3 linked regions of the Ovis aries genome follow. The protein of the gene in region 3 purifies or fractionates together with the protein of the main gene of each other region. This does not show direct contact. Links are inferred from orthologs where the notes say so. Each region holds a gene or a part of one and is shown on either strand. Other genes may lie near its edges.

Region 1 (4,107 bases), on a different chromosome or scaffold from region 3:
CCTGGAACTATCACTAGTTATTTATTAACAAGGAAAATCATTTCCTAAAGGTACCTGGTCCTTACTTATCAGAATCAGTTTTGCAAGTAAAGCAAAGAGCTAATCTTTTGTGGGCCAAGTTAATTTGGGAAGCCCTGGATACTGTGAGAAAGTGGAATAGCCACGACAAAACCAAGACCAAAGAATTAGCATAAATAAAGGTTTTATTGGTCAGTTTGGGTGACTGACACACTGACAGACCTTCAATTCACTGTTCCACACACCCAAGGTCCTGAGGTGGCAGGAAGACAACTAAGCCCATTAATACCAAGCAAAGGGTGGGAAGTGGAAAGAATCTAAAGGTCTCTGTGATTAATTAACAAGGCTACCGGGACCGGAACCAACGTCCTAGGAACAAATCCAGGATGGAAGAGGAATCATCCAAGGATGGAGGTGTTGGTGATTCTGGACCTAAGGGAAAGAGTGATACACACAGGCTAAATGAAGGAGACTGGAAAGAGGCAAAGGAGGGCAGCAATGTTTAATGGTAGGAGAGCAACAGTTTCCCTTTCCCATGGAACTAAGAGATGGATCCCTTTGATTTATACTCTTCACTTACCATCTCTAGGACTGCCGCCTGCCTCTTGATGGGTTACTGTGGTCTCTTTCCGGCCCTCGCTGTCCACCACAGTCCGGCGCTCCTCTATAGTCTACAAGAAGAAGTCCCCCCACCATATCCCTAACATCACTAAAGGTGGGTTCACTTGTTTCTTTACATAGTCCCCCTTTCCAGAACATTCTCTGGTCACAGCTGCCTTTACCCATCTCTCCCAACTCACCCCATCTGGCTTAGTGATCTTGGTCACAGAGACACTCTTGAAATAGGTTTTGGGTTGGGGCTGCAGAACTGGGCCAAGACCCTCCTGAGAAACCTGGGAATCAAGATCTAGAAGGGCACAGAAAGGAAACAAGAAAGAGTCCAAAGCGAAGAAGGGGACAAATGTGGCAGACAGAAATTTCAGGGAGGGACACCAAAGGGCTGGTAAATGTCCTCTCCCTCCAGACTTACCATTGTCTTCTCTGGCTCTAGAGTGGGGGGTCACAGGCCACGTATCATCGAACTGTAGAAGAAGCCAAAGTAGGTCAAATGACACCTTTCAATCTGAAGTTTGAGGGGCCCCAGAACCCAGCCTATTTCCAAGTTCCAAAACTACTTTTTTTTTTTTTTTTCAGGAGAAATGATCCCAGCAGGATGGCTTTCTTTACTCACTCCCCCTCCTTCCTACCTGATTCATGTATTTCTCTACCAAAAAAGCATTCCTGAACTGACACTTTTCTGTCCTCCTTCAAACATTTCTGCTTTCTCCAAGCATCGTCTACAGTAATTTTTAACAAAAAGCAGAACTCCCATTTCCTCCCAAAGAAAATCCTACACAAAGCTTAATATAGAAAACAGACAAATACAACCCAAGTCTGTTAGATTCCAGCAAGGTTTCCAGTCTTTGCAGTCTTCTCCACAGCTCCCACTTCAGGCCCAGATGTACTCACCCTATGAAAAGGTCTCTGGGGGCCCCAGTCTGGTGCTGGTTTGGGGGATTCAGATCTTGCATCACTCTCCAAGCCCCCACCAAAGATCTTGGGCTGGTGACTATCTGGATACTTAAGCATTGAGTCCCGAAGCGTCTGTCCTTCCTGCCGTCTCTCACCAGGTGTCTCTGACTCAGGACCTGGAAGTTCTGCAGAAAGGTGGCAGGTGGATGCTGGGAGTAGGAAAGGACTTGGGCTCTTTTAAATCTCCTTGAAATCATCAGCTTTCTCACACTTCCCAACACCCCCAACTACTCTCTGCAAGTCTTTTTTTTTCACCCACCGACCCAGTAGAAACCACAGGTTCTTCCCCAGGAGCATCCACACACCAGGAGGGCGGGAAGGCAAGGTCCAGGCCCCCATCTCGCTGAAGATGTTGTTGAAATCCCGTACTAGGTCATCAAAGCCGAAGTTATCGTGGAAACGCATTCCTCCTCCCGGGCTGAAGCTGAAGCCAAAGCTAAATTCCTCAGGGGGCTGGGGACCCTCAAACCTCGAGTTCCCACGGCCCCACGTGACTCCTTCTTCTTCCTCTTCCTCATCATCTTCGTCTTCATCGCGAGTCATTCCTCCAAAAAAGGGATCTCTGTGGCTAGGGGTGGAGGCAGATTAGCCACCAAAATTTCAGCACTTAAACCATAGCATCAGCTAAGACTCGACGAGTAGGACAAGAGTTGGGATCTGAGGGCCTGGAGTGAGGGTAGAGGACTGGCCATCGGGTTTGTTTTGCTTCATCAACGTCAGTCCTCACCTGGTGCCCCACCCCACCCCGCCCCGCCCCCAGCGCTTCCCTGCGGCTTTTCTTAAGTGTTTCCCAGCCCCTGCCCTCCCCCAAGGTCTTGCTCACTTGTCCTCGACTCCAGAGCCCATTGTCTTCCCCACCCGGTCCCCTGTTACATCACCCTAAACTGGAGAAAAGCTTAAGCGGCTGTTTCTTCTCTTAGCGACCGCCCTGGTTACTGTCGGGGGGTGAGTGTTCAGTGTTGACCTTTTTTTCCCCGCAGGAGTTTTAGGAGGGTAGAAAAGGATGTTTTTCCAAAAATAGGGTGTCCAGGGTCAAGCTCCCCTCCGAGTACTCCCGCCCCTCCGTGTCTGGCCGGAATCCGCTCTCACCTCCGAGGTCCAGAAAAGCCGAAAAAGCCCCGAAAGAGGTCAAAAAGGCTCATTCCCGTAGTGGGACTCGAACCTTTGAAGCCCACAGCGGGTAGCAGCCAGAGCTACGCTGTCGGAAATTGAGCGAAGCGTCAGACCACGCTGCCGGAAAGCAAGCATGCGATCGCACACTGTCGTAAAACAACCGTAAGCCGGACGTCGCTGAGGGGCGGGGCGGGCGATCCTATCAAATTCTAAAGGCTTTCACTTTTGCCCCCACCTGCTTCCTGTGAAGGGAGCGGGCGTACTGAGTTTTTATTTCCCAACGAACACTTGCCCTCTAAGCCAATTCTTTAGGCCGACCAACCCACTCCAGTAGGGTTTCGAGGGTTTGACGCTTGATGGCACTGGAGACAGCCGCCAGAGGGCACTCCACCCACAGAAATTAACCGGACCCAGACCCTTCCTCATTGCAGACTCACCACACCCACGGACCAGTGTTCTGCCTTAAACCCACCCGCTCCCTTCTTTCATCGTTTGTTTCTCGCCTGACTTAAGTCTAGTATTAGAGGAATGGACAAAATGTATCAAGCTCCTTCTACTTTAATAATGACATCCCCAGAGTAAAAGACACAGGAATGCATGGATTTAACTTCATCTCTCCAGCTATTAAGTAGTTTGCCAACGTAGGCTCTGCAACCATCAGAATAAACTTTGTGAGAGCGCAAGGGAAATCTAGTCAAGTTTTGGGAAGGAAGAATTTGGAGGTGTAAGTGTCCCCTTTTGCCTATCAGTGACTTTCAAAGCCTCTCCCCCTCTCTGTGCCCTCACCTCCTTCCCAAACCTGGCCTTGCTCCAGCCTCCTCCTCTTCAAGGGTGTGGATATTAGCTATGTGAAATGAAAACACTCAAACAGCAAGATCTACTGCTTCAGTTTTGCTAGCCAACAGTGCATATTTCGCACTCATTTCTTTCCAGTTCATTTGCACGGACCCATCTAAATTAAACTTTGATTCTATCAATACAAAGCGATTTCTTTCAGTTCTTGGTTAATCCTCTCCCTTTCCACCCAGTATCAGCTATCCCACTCCCTTCACTGCCTACAATCTGCTACAGATGACGGAAATGAACATTTGCAATGATTCTTTACAGGCACCACTGTGAAATTTTTGAGGGAGGGCGAGGGAATCCCCTCAAGGGCAGCACATTAAGGTCAGAGGAGTTCTTAAAGGGCGAAGATTTCGTTTTTATTCCACCGCCTTCGGGGCCTGCTAGAGAAGGCCCAGTTGGTACAGTAATATTTATTCACCAAGCTGGTCATCGACGAGACTGAGGACATCCTAGACGGAGCAAGAATGGGCAGAGGCTGAAGGTAGAGGTTTTCTTTTTATATATACAAGACACATTAATCCATTAAATTTGAGGACACAGTACAAAAAAAAAAAAACC
Region 2 (4,094 bases), on a different chromosome or scaffold from region 3:
ACCAAACTGATACAGACTTCATCAGAATTCAAAACTTTTGCTCTCCGAAAGCCATAGTTAACAGACTCAAAAGGCAAGCTGTAAACTGGGAGAGCACAAGCGCCAGGCAAATTTCTGGAATAAGACACGTGCCCAGAAGACATAATGGCCCCAAACACGTGACGGTAAGAAGATAAGCAAGACCACAAGAGATGAGCAGAAGACGCGAGCACACGCTTCAGTAAAGCAGGCATCAGGAACGGCGATGGGCACAGGAAAAGACACTTACTATCATCAGGGGGCTGCAGATTAGAACCAAGGTGAAATTCTACCACATACCAAACTAGACCAGCACAAGGTAAAGACTGACGCTACCAGACACTGGCACAGACACGGAGCATCTGAGTCTCCCACACGCCACTGGCAGAGACAAAAAATCATGACACCACTTTGAAAAGCTATGAAATGTCTTATGAAACCCAGACATCCATTAACGCACGATAAGCAACCATGGTGCCCAGAGTACTCGGCAACAAAGAAACCAGTTACTGTCAGAAGGCCCACACGCAGTGCAGAAGCGTTACCCTAAGTGAAAGGAGCCAGGTACGAGAGACCGCGAGAGGCACGGTTCCATTTAGATGAGGTTCTAGAAACGGCAGAATGTACCAACAGACAGCAAGTCAGTGATTGCCAAGGGCTGGGAGTGAGGAGGGATGGCTGGCCGCACAGGGGCCTCTGGGCACTGTCTGTGGTGACAGAATGTTCTGCAAGTGGACACGTCTGATAAAACTTACTCAAGGACACATTCCATAGCTTAATTAAGTGGTTAAAACACACAACAGACTTAAACTTAAGACAAAGAAGGCACATATGTTCACATATGTTCACTGTCAACAGCAGTCTTCTTTGGGTGATAGGAATATCAGGGATTTTCATTTCCTTCCATGTACTTTCTGCAGTTTCCATAATTTTTATAATGTAATTGCTCATGTAAACATGAAAAGGTTTTGCTTATTTTTTACAAGTATCCAACTGTAAACTTTTCATGTTGCACTGGGGTAAAGCCAATTAATGACGCTGCTGAACTTTCAGGTGAACAGCAAAGGGACTCAGCCACACACATACATGTACCCATCCTCCCCCAAACCCTCCTAGAGAAAAAAACTTGAACTCAAGCCTCTTAATAGAGAAGCTAGATATTAACAGAAATGCTATTCTATCGCCTAAAGCGTAGGTAAGAGTTTCACACACAACATAATGGATGATAATCTGCTGCATATTTGGAAAATGTCCTATGGCTCTTGGAAACACGTTTCTCTCCTATAAATGGGTTAAATTTAAGTACCTTTCAACAGCTTAAGCCTGAAAATGAAATGAAAATCCCACAACCACCAAAACCAGAAAACAGTCCTTGACTTGGGACAGGATGCCACAGAGCTCCTGCTGTTTCTGGTGGAGGCAGATACTTGGACTCTATTCCCTCTTCTACTGTCTCTGAAACAACACTGGGGACCACAGAATCCACGGCTGCGTCACGTTTCACCGGAGCTGGATTACGGTGCAATTTAGACAACTATAAAAAAGTCAGGTAAGCGGAAAGCAGGATGCCAGCACCCTAAGGGAAGGGAAGGCTTCCATCTCAGCGAGCCTGCTATGGAGCTCTGCTCCTGGCCGCCTGTGGACGCTTACCTGATAGAGCTCTTCCAGGTTGTAGCGGATGGAGGTGCTACTCTGTATGGCTTTCACCGCTTCATGAAGCTTCTGCCAGGTGTCCTGAGTGTAGTTATCAGGCAATTTAGGTCTGTCTGTAAGTGCAGACACAGTCAGTAGGTAACGGCACCCATGCCAACAATCACACGTCTTTAAAAAACCACTCTACGAAAAAAGTACTTCAAAGACACACAGCTAAGGAACGCGGGCCATTGTTTTCCCCGTACAAGGTGCCATGTTTATAAATCCCTCGGGTTACAGACTCTGCAGCCGTTCCGCCTTCGTTTCACTAAGCAAACACGTCGAAGACGGTCGCTGTGAGCGCGAGGGGAAGGCATAAAAATCTCAGTGCTCTTTCACTCAACGAGCGGACTTCCCAAGCGGGAGGCCGCGGAAGAGTTACCCTCCCCTCCGCGCTGCGAGCTGCCCGAAGCCGCCCCCGGCGGGGAGGCCGCCCGCCCGAGCGCCCGCCCGGGGCCGCGCCGCCGCAGGGGGGACCGCGCCGCCCGCCCAGCGCTCGGGCCCCGCGGCGCCCGCCCGGCCGGCCCGCACCCACCTCGGAAGTTCTTGATCACGAGCTTCCTGGAGCCGCCGGCGCCGCCGGGCTTGGCGGTGGCGGCGGCCGCGGCGAGGGACGCGGGCTTGGTGAGGCCGTTCGTGTGCCCGACGAGCGCCGAGAAGCTGCCCTTCCGGGGGCCCTCGTCCGCCATGGCGGCGCCCGCCCCGGCCCGGCCCGGCCTCCCGCCGCCGCCTCCCCGGCCCAACCGCCGCCCGGCTCGCGCGCTCTGCCCGCGCGGCCCGGCCCGCGACCGAACGCCCCGGCGCGGCCCGTGAGGAGCCCGCGAGGAGCCCGTGAGGAGCCCGCGAGGAGCCCGCGCGGCCCGTGAGGAGCCCGTGAGGAGCCCGCGAGGAGCCCGCGAGGAGCCCGCGCGGCCCGGCCCGTGAGGAGCCCGTGAGGAGCCCGCAGCCGCCGAGGGGGCGGCGGGCCCGGGCTCCGCGGCGCCGAGGGGGCGGTCGCGCGAGCGGGGAGGGCAGTCGCAGCGCAGCCCCCGGCGGTCCTCAGCCCGGGCGCGCCGCCATGCCGGCCCGGGGCTCGCGCTGCGGCGCACACACCGCCTCCGGAACCAACGCGCGCGGAAGGCGGGGCCGGGGGCGCGGGGTCGGGGCCGGACCGCGGCCCGGAAGTGACGCGCGGCGGCGGCGCGGGCGCGGCCATGGCGCACATCACCATCAACCAGTACCTGCAGCAGGTGGGGTTCCCGGTCTGCGGCCCGCGCCGGGCGGAGGGGTGGCCGGGCGGAGGGGTGGCCGCGCGGAGGGACTCTTTTCGCCGGCTGCGCCCGCGCCGCCGGCCGCCGGGCGGCAGGCAGACCCGACGTGGGTCCCGGGGGCCGGCCGCGCCCTCGGGGTAGGGGCGGTGGGAGCTGGGGACGCGGAGAGCCGGGGCCCGCCTGCGAGCGGGCCGCGCCCCGCGGGCTTGCGTCTCTCGGGGCTGTGTCCACACAGCCTGTAGACGCAGGAGCACAGCGCGAACACAGCCATCGACGGATCGAAAGCCGACAGTCTTTGCTGGAAGCAGGGCTTCCCTGATAGCTCAGACGGTAAAGAATGCGCGTGCGGTGCAGGAGACTCAGGTTCGATCCCTGTGTGGGGAAGATCCCCTGGAGGAGGGCATGGCAGCCCACTCCAGTATCTGGCCTGGAGAATCCCATGGACGGAGGAGCCTGGCTGGCTACTGCCCATAGGGTCCCAAAGACTCAGACACGACTGAGCGGCTAAGCACAGCGTGGCATAAACACTGTAAGGGCCTCCCTGGTGCCCCAGACAGTAAAGAGTCCGCCTGCAACGCAGGAGACCCAGGTTTGATCCCTGGTTCGGGGAGATCACCTGGAGAAGGGAATGGCAGCCCACTCCAGTATTCCTGCTTGGAGAATCTCATGGACAGAGGGATCTGGCAGGCTACAGTCCATGGGGCCGCCAAAACTGGGACACGGCTGAACGACGAACACAGTCTTTCCTCTGGGCTGTGCTCATTCGCAGGGCTAGAACCCTGGTGACAGGATTAAGGAAAGGGAGGGGCGGCACATGGCCTTTAAAAAATATCTGAAGACTGCCAGGACTTAGTGTGGTTCCGGCTCCGGGAGGAATCAGGATTCATTCCCAGGTTTCTAGCTTTACAGTAGATGAGCAGAACCGATTTGGAAGTAAAAATAAATTGTTCTGGACGTGTTGTGTTGGAGGTGTCTGTTGACAACCAGGCAAAGATATCTAGTTGGCAGCTGAATATAGTATAACAAGCTTGGAACCATTAACGTAATGGTTAATGGTTCATTGAGAAAACTGGTTCAAACGAGAATCATGAAAATACAAATACATGCTTTTGTTTTAACTTAAAGCTTGCAAAT
Region 3 (3,500 bases):
CATATAGCAGAATACCATCACAGCTTTTAAAAATAGTGATGAATACTTACAAGTATATCATGAAAAAGTGTTCACTTAGCATTAACACACACACTCACACAAAGTTTACAAAATAACATGTATAGTGTGATGTCATTTTTTTTGTGAAAACAAATATACTTATAAATAATATACATATATAACAAACATATATACTTACATATTTTCTACTACAAAACACAGAAGCAGATATCAAAATATTAAAGGAAGCTATTTCTGAGTACTAGAATTATAGGGTTGGATTTTTAATATTTTATTTATTATTTTTCTATTTATCTACAAAGATCATGTATTATTTATATAATGAATTAAAAGTTAAAGAGAAAAATATAGGTAAGAAAAACATTCAAACAGCACTAGGCTTCATTATCCAGGAAATCAGTACTTTATATCAAAATAACCCAGTTACCTAGAGGAGCAGAATCAATTTTTTTCCAAGGGTTGAGATATGTTTTCTTTTCCTTCCAATCACAATATTCCTGACAACTATCACTAGGCTGGTCCCATGGTAATTCTAAAAAGGAAACAAGACTCGGTTTTCTGAATGTTCAAATCATTTTACAGTAATGATTTTAAGGGAAAATAATCAGTGACACAAATCCATTAAAAGTTTTCTTCAAATTAATTAAATATGGTTTAAGAAATTTTAAAGACACTTCTAAGATAGATAATCCACTTCTGTCTTACTATTTCGAAAAGTGTTCACATAATTTTAAGAGAGTGCTACTATGATATTTCATTTAATAGCTACACATAAATCATTGTTTTAAATCTTTGGTATTAAAAGTTCCAACTTAGTTATAAATAGGTTAATATTAACATACTATCACATGATTTATTTCATTTATTTTGGTACAGGAAACATGGCTTTCCAAAGGACAGGAATTTTATCATGATTGAACAGCTCTTACCTCCAGCCAACATTGCAGTAAGTACTATTCCACAGGACCAAATATCGACTGGCTCTGCATGAAATTCTTTTCTCTTTAGAAGTTCTGGAGCAACGTATGGTAAAGTACCACACATCTTGTTCAACAAACGCTCCCGATTATTATGCCGAAACACGGTTGCCAAGCCAAAGTCAGAGATTTTGAGGTTATCTAAGTCAAAGGAAAAAACCGATGGCACTGAATGTAAATTCCCAGGTGGTGCAATGGCAAAAGAATACACCTGCCAATGCACGAGACTCGGGTTCAGTCCCTGAGCAGGGAAGATCCCTGGAGGAGGAAATGGCAACCCACTCCAGTGTTCTTGCCTGGAGAACCCCATGGACAGAAGAGCCTAGCAGGCTACAGTCCATGGAGTCACAAAGAGTCAGACCTGACTGAGCCACTGAGCACACACACAAATACTTAAAGGAGTCAAGGTTTACTGGAAAACTGCTGGTGTTATTTTAGATTTGTGGAACTTCTCTACCTTAAAGTGATCAAAAACAAATTGTAATAAAGAAGAAATAAAAGACATCATCATATAACTAAAACTAGAAAAAGGCCTCACGGCTTCTATTAACTTAAGACAAATACTGTCAATATACAAACAGCATGGACCAGGTTAGAGGAAGATCCTGGAGTCAAAAGGGTCTTCTAGAAAGGAGCACTTAAACACTGAGAGCAGAGCCATGTCCTCACCCGGCTATGCAGAGGCACGAGGTATCAATAATACTCTAGGCACAACGTTCTCAGAGATGTAAAAACCCAGCTGGCTGGAAGGAAGCATATAAAGACACACAGAAACTCAAGATCCACAGACCTCCAGAGCTTCTCATCAAGGTGGCTATGTTTATAAAAGGAGGAGGAACTCTGCACAAAAACAAATAAGAAGAGCAAATTTCCTCTCTAACTTCCCACCTCTAAGACACACAAACTGTAGGCAGAACTTTCACCTTAACTATACTTACTGAATATTTACCGTAACTGAGTGGCAGATTAAGAAGCTGCCCTGAAGTTTCAGTAATGCAAAAGCCTTGATCCCGCCTTTGTATTAAAATGATTTTGGTAGCAGTGACAAAATGCTAAACTTACCCCTTTCATCCAATAGGAGATTTTCGGGTTTAATATCCCTGTGAGTTATTCCAATACCATGCAGATAAACCTAAAAGAGAAGCAGAGGGAAGCATACCAGAACTGAGTAACTTATTTCACTAAGACTAATTTTAAATGAAAGGAAAAGAGACCACTGTACCTACCACCCCTGCCATAAGTTGATGGAAGAACCTCTGAGCCTCTTGTTCAGGCATGCCTATGTCTGGCTCTATAAGAATTGTGAAAGTTAGTTTATCAGGTAAATATAGTCAGGCATCAACCACATAGTTTCCTAATTCTAAAGTTTAACATCTATGATCGCACTTTTGCAAAGAGAATCTAATGCTTACAATGAAATTATTCTGGAGTCCACTAATACATATATTGCTAACAACTCACATTTCCCCAACTGTTAAGTGGCAAAAATAAATTAACATCACAGGAAAATTAGAGAATAACAAAATATAACCCAAATCAAGAATGCAAGATATACCTTGAAAGCCCCGACTTATACTACTTATGATTTATATCCTTCAAATTCACCCCTGATTTCTTCTAAATGCTATGCCAATATTTTTTTCTACTCCTGAAATGTAATTGTCAAAGTGGAAGCCTAGCAAATCTAAGCCGATTTCCTAAATATACAAGAAATTTAAATTTCATATAATTTCTCACACCACAAAGCCATGCATGTCTATGAATTGATTTCTTTTATACTCAATTCTTTTCTGAGATACATCTTTTTGGAGATTCTAATAATCACTTTTCAACTATTAATACATCTAAATAATAAATTTAAGTCCACAGAATATTTTATGTAATTCTCAGTATTCTTTAATATCAAGACTTTTAATCTTAAGTAGCAAAACAAAAAATAGAGAAGGCAATGGCACCCCACTCCAGTACTCTTGCCTGGAAAATCCTATGGATGGAAGAGCCTGGTAGGCTGTAGTCCATGGGGTCGCTAAGAGTCGGACACGACTGAGCGACTTCACTTTCATGCATTGGAGAAGGAAATGGCAACCCACTCCAGTGTTTTTGCCTGGAGAATCCCAGGGACAGGGGGAGCCTGGTGGGCTGCCGTCTATGGGGTCACACAGAGTTGGACACGACTGAAGTGACTTAGCAGCAGCAGCAAAAATAGTACTTAATATATATATAAATCCTATAAAATTCTCAATTATTTCACTTATATAATAACCTCTTATTTCAGATCTATAAATGAATGCAACAATTTCATGAGACTAGAATGTCTAAAACTGCATAGGCATACAATACATTGCACTTATGATACTTCACGCACCAAGAAACCACAGCTTATCATTCTTAAACTCTACAAAACAGAAATGCCAACCAAAATCACTTATACAACTTGGGGGAAAATTTCTTTGATGATTCTACATATGCATTCAGTGTTGACATAAGTTGCAAAAACAAAAA

What was found. The genes of interacting proteins can lie anywhere in the genome.
Region 1: the proteins of CHEK1 (region 3) and HAX1 purify together in Homo sapiens (affinity purification with mass spectrometry; 3 studies listed by BioGRID and IntAct, with this or other methods). This does not show direct contact. The link is inferred for Ovis aries from reciprocal best matches to the Homo sapiens genes CHEK1 and HAX1.
Region 2: the proteins of CHEK1 (region 3) and CUL4A purify together in Homo sapiens (affinity purification with western blotting; 4 studies listed by BioGRID). This does not show direct contact. The link is inferred for Ovis aries from reciprocal best matches to the Homo sapiens genes CHEK1 and CUL4A.

Annotation. Positions count from the first base shown.
Region 1 is NC_056054.1:104,558,398-104,562,504, reverse strand, and holds HAX1 (HCLS1-associated protein X-1), read right to left. Parts: upstream 2,801-4,107; 5' UTR 2,733-2,800; coding exon 2,680-2,732; intron 2,159-2,679; coding exon 1,854-2,158; intron 1,716-1,853; coding exon 1,528-1,715; intron 1,101-1,527; coding exon 1,049-1,100; intron 926-1,048; coding exon 819-925; intron 690-818; coding exon 599-689; intron 451-598; coding exon 365-450; 3' UTR 186-364; downstream 1-185. UniProt on the Homo sapiens protein: Recruits the Arp2/3 complex to the cell cortex and regulates reorganization of the cortical actin cytoskeleton via its interaction with KCNC3 and the Arp2/3 complex. Slows down the rate of inactivation of KCNC3 channels. Promotes GNA13-mediated cell migration.
Region 2 is NC_056063.1:85,882,324-85,886,417, reverse strand, and holds the start of CUL4A (cullin-4A), read right to left. Parts: upstream 2,801-4,094; 5' UTR 2,400-2,800; coding exon 2,246-2,399; intron 1,785-2,245; coding exon 1,669-1,784; intron 1-1,668. Other genes in the region: PCID2 (PCI domain-containing protein 2), read left to right, coding at 2,904-2,939. UniProt on the Homo sapiens protein: Core component of multiple cullin-RING-based E3 ubiquitin-protein ligase complexes which mediate the ubiquitination of target proteins. As a scaffold protein may contribute to catalysis through positioning of the substrate and the ubiquitin-conjugating enzyme.
Region 3 is NC_056074.1:26,501,334-26,504,833, reverse strand, and holds part of CHEK1 (serine/threonine-protein kinase Chk1), read right to left. Parts: intron 2,290-3,500; coding exon 2,225-2,289; intron 2,131-2,224; coding exon 2,061-2,130; intron 1,140-2,060; coding exon 951-1,139; intron 554-950; coding exon 449-553; intron 1-448. UniProt on the Homo sapiens protein: Serine/threonine-protein kinase which is required for checkpoint-mediated cell cycle arrest and activation of DNA repair in response to the presence of DNA damage or unreplicated DNA.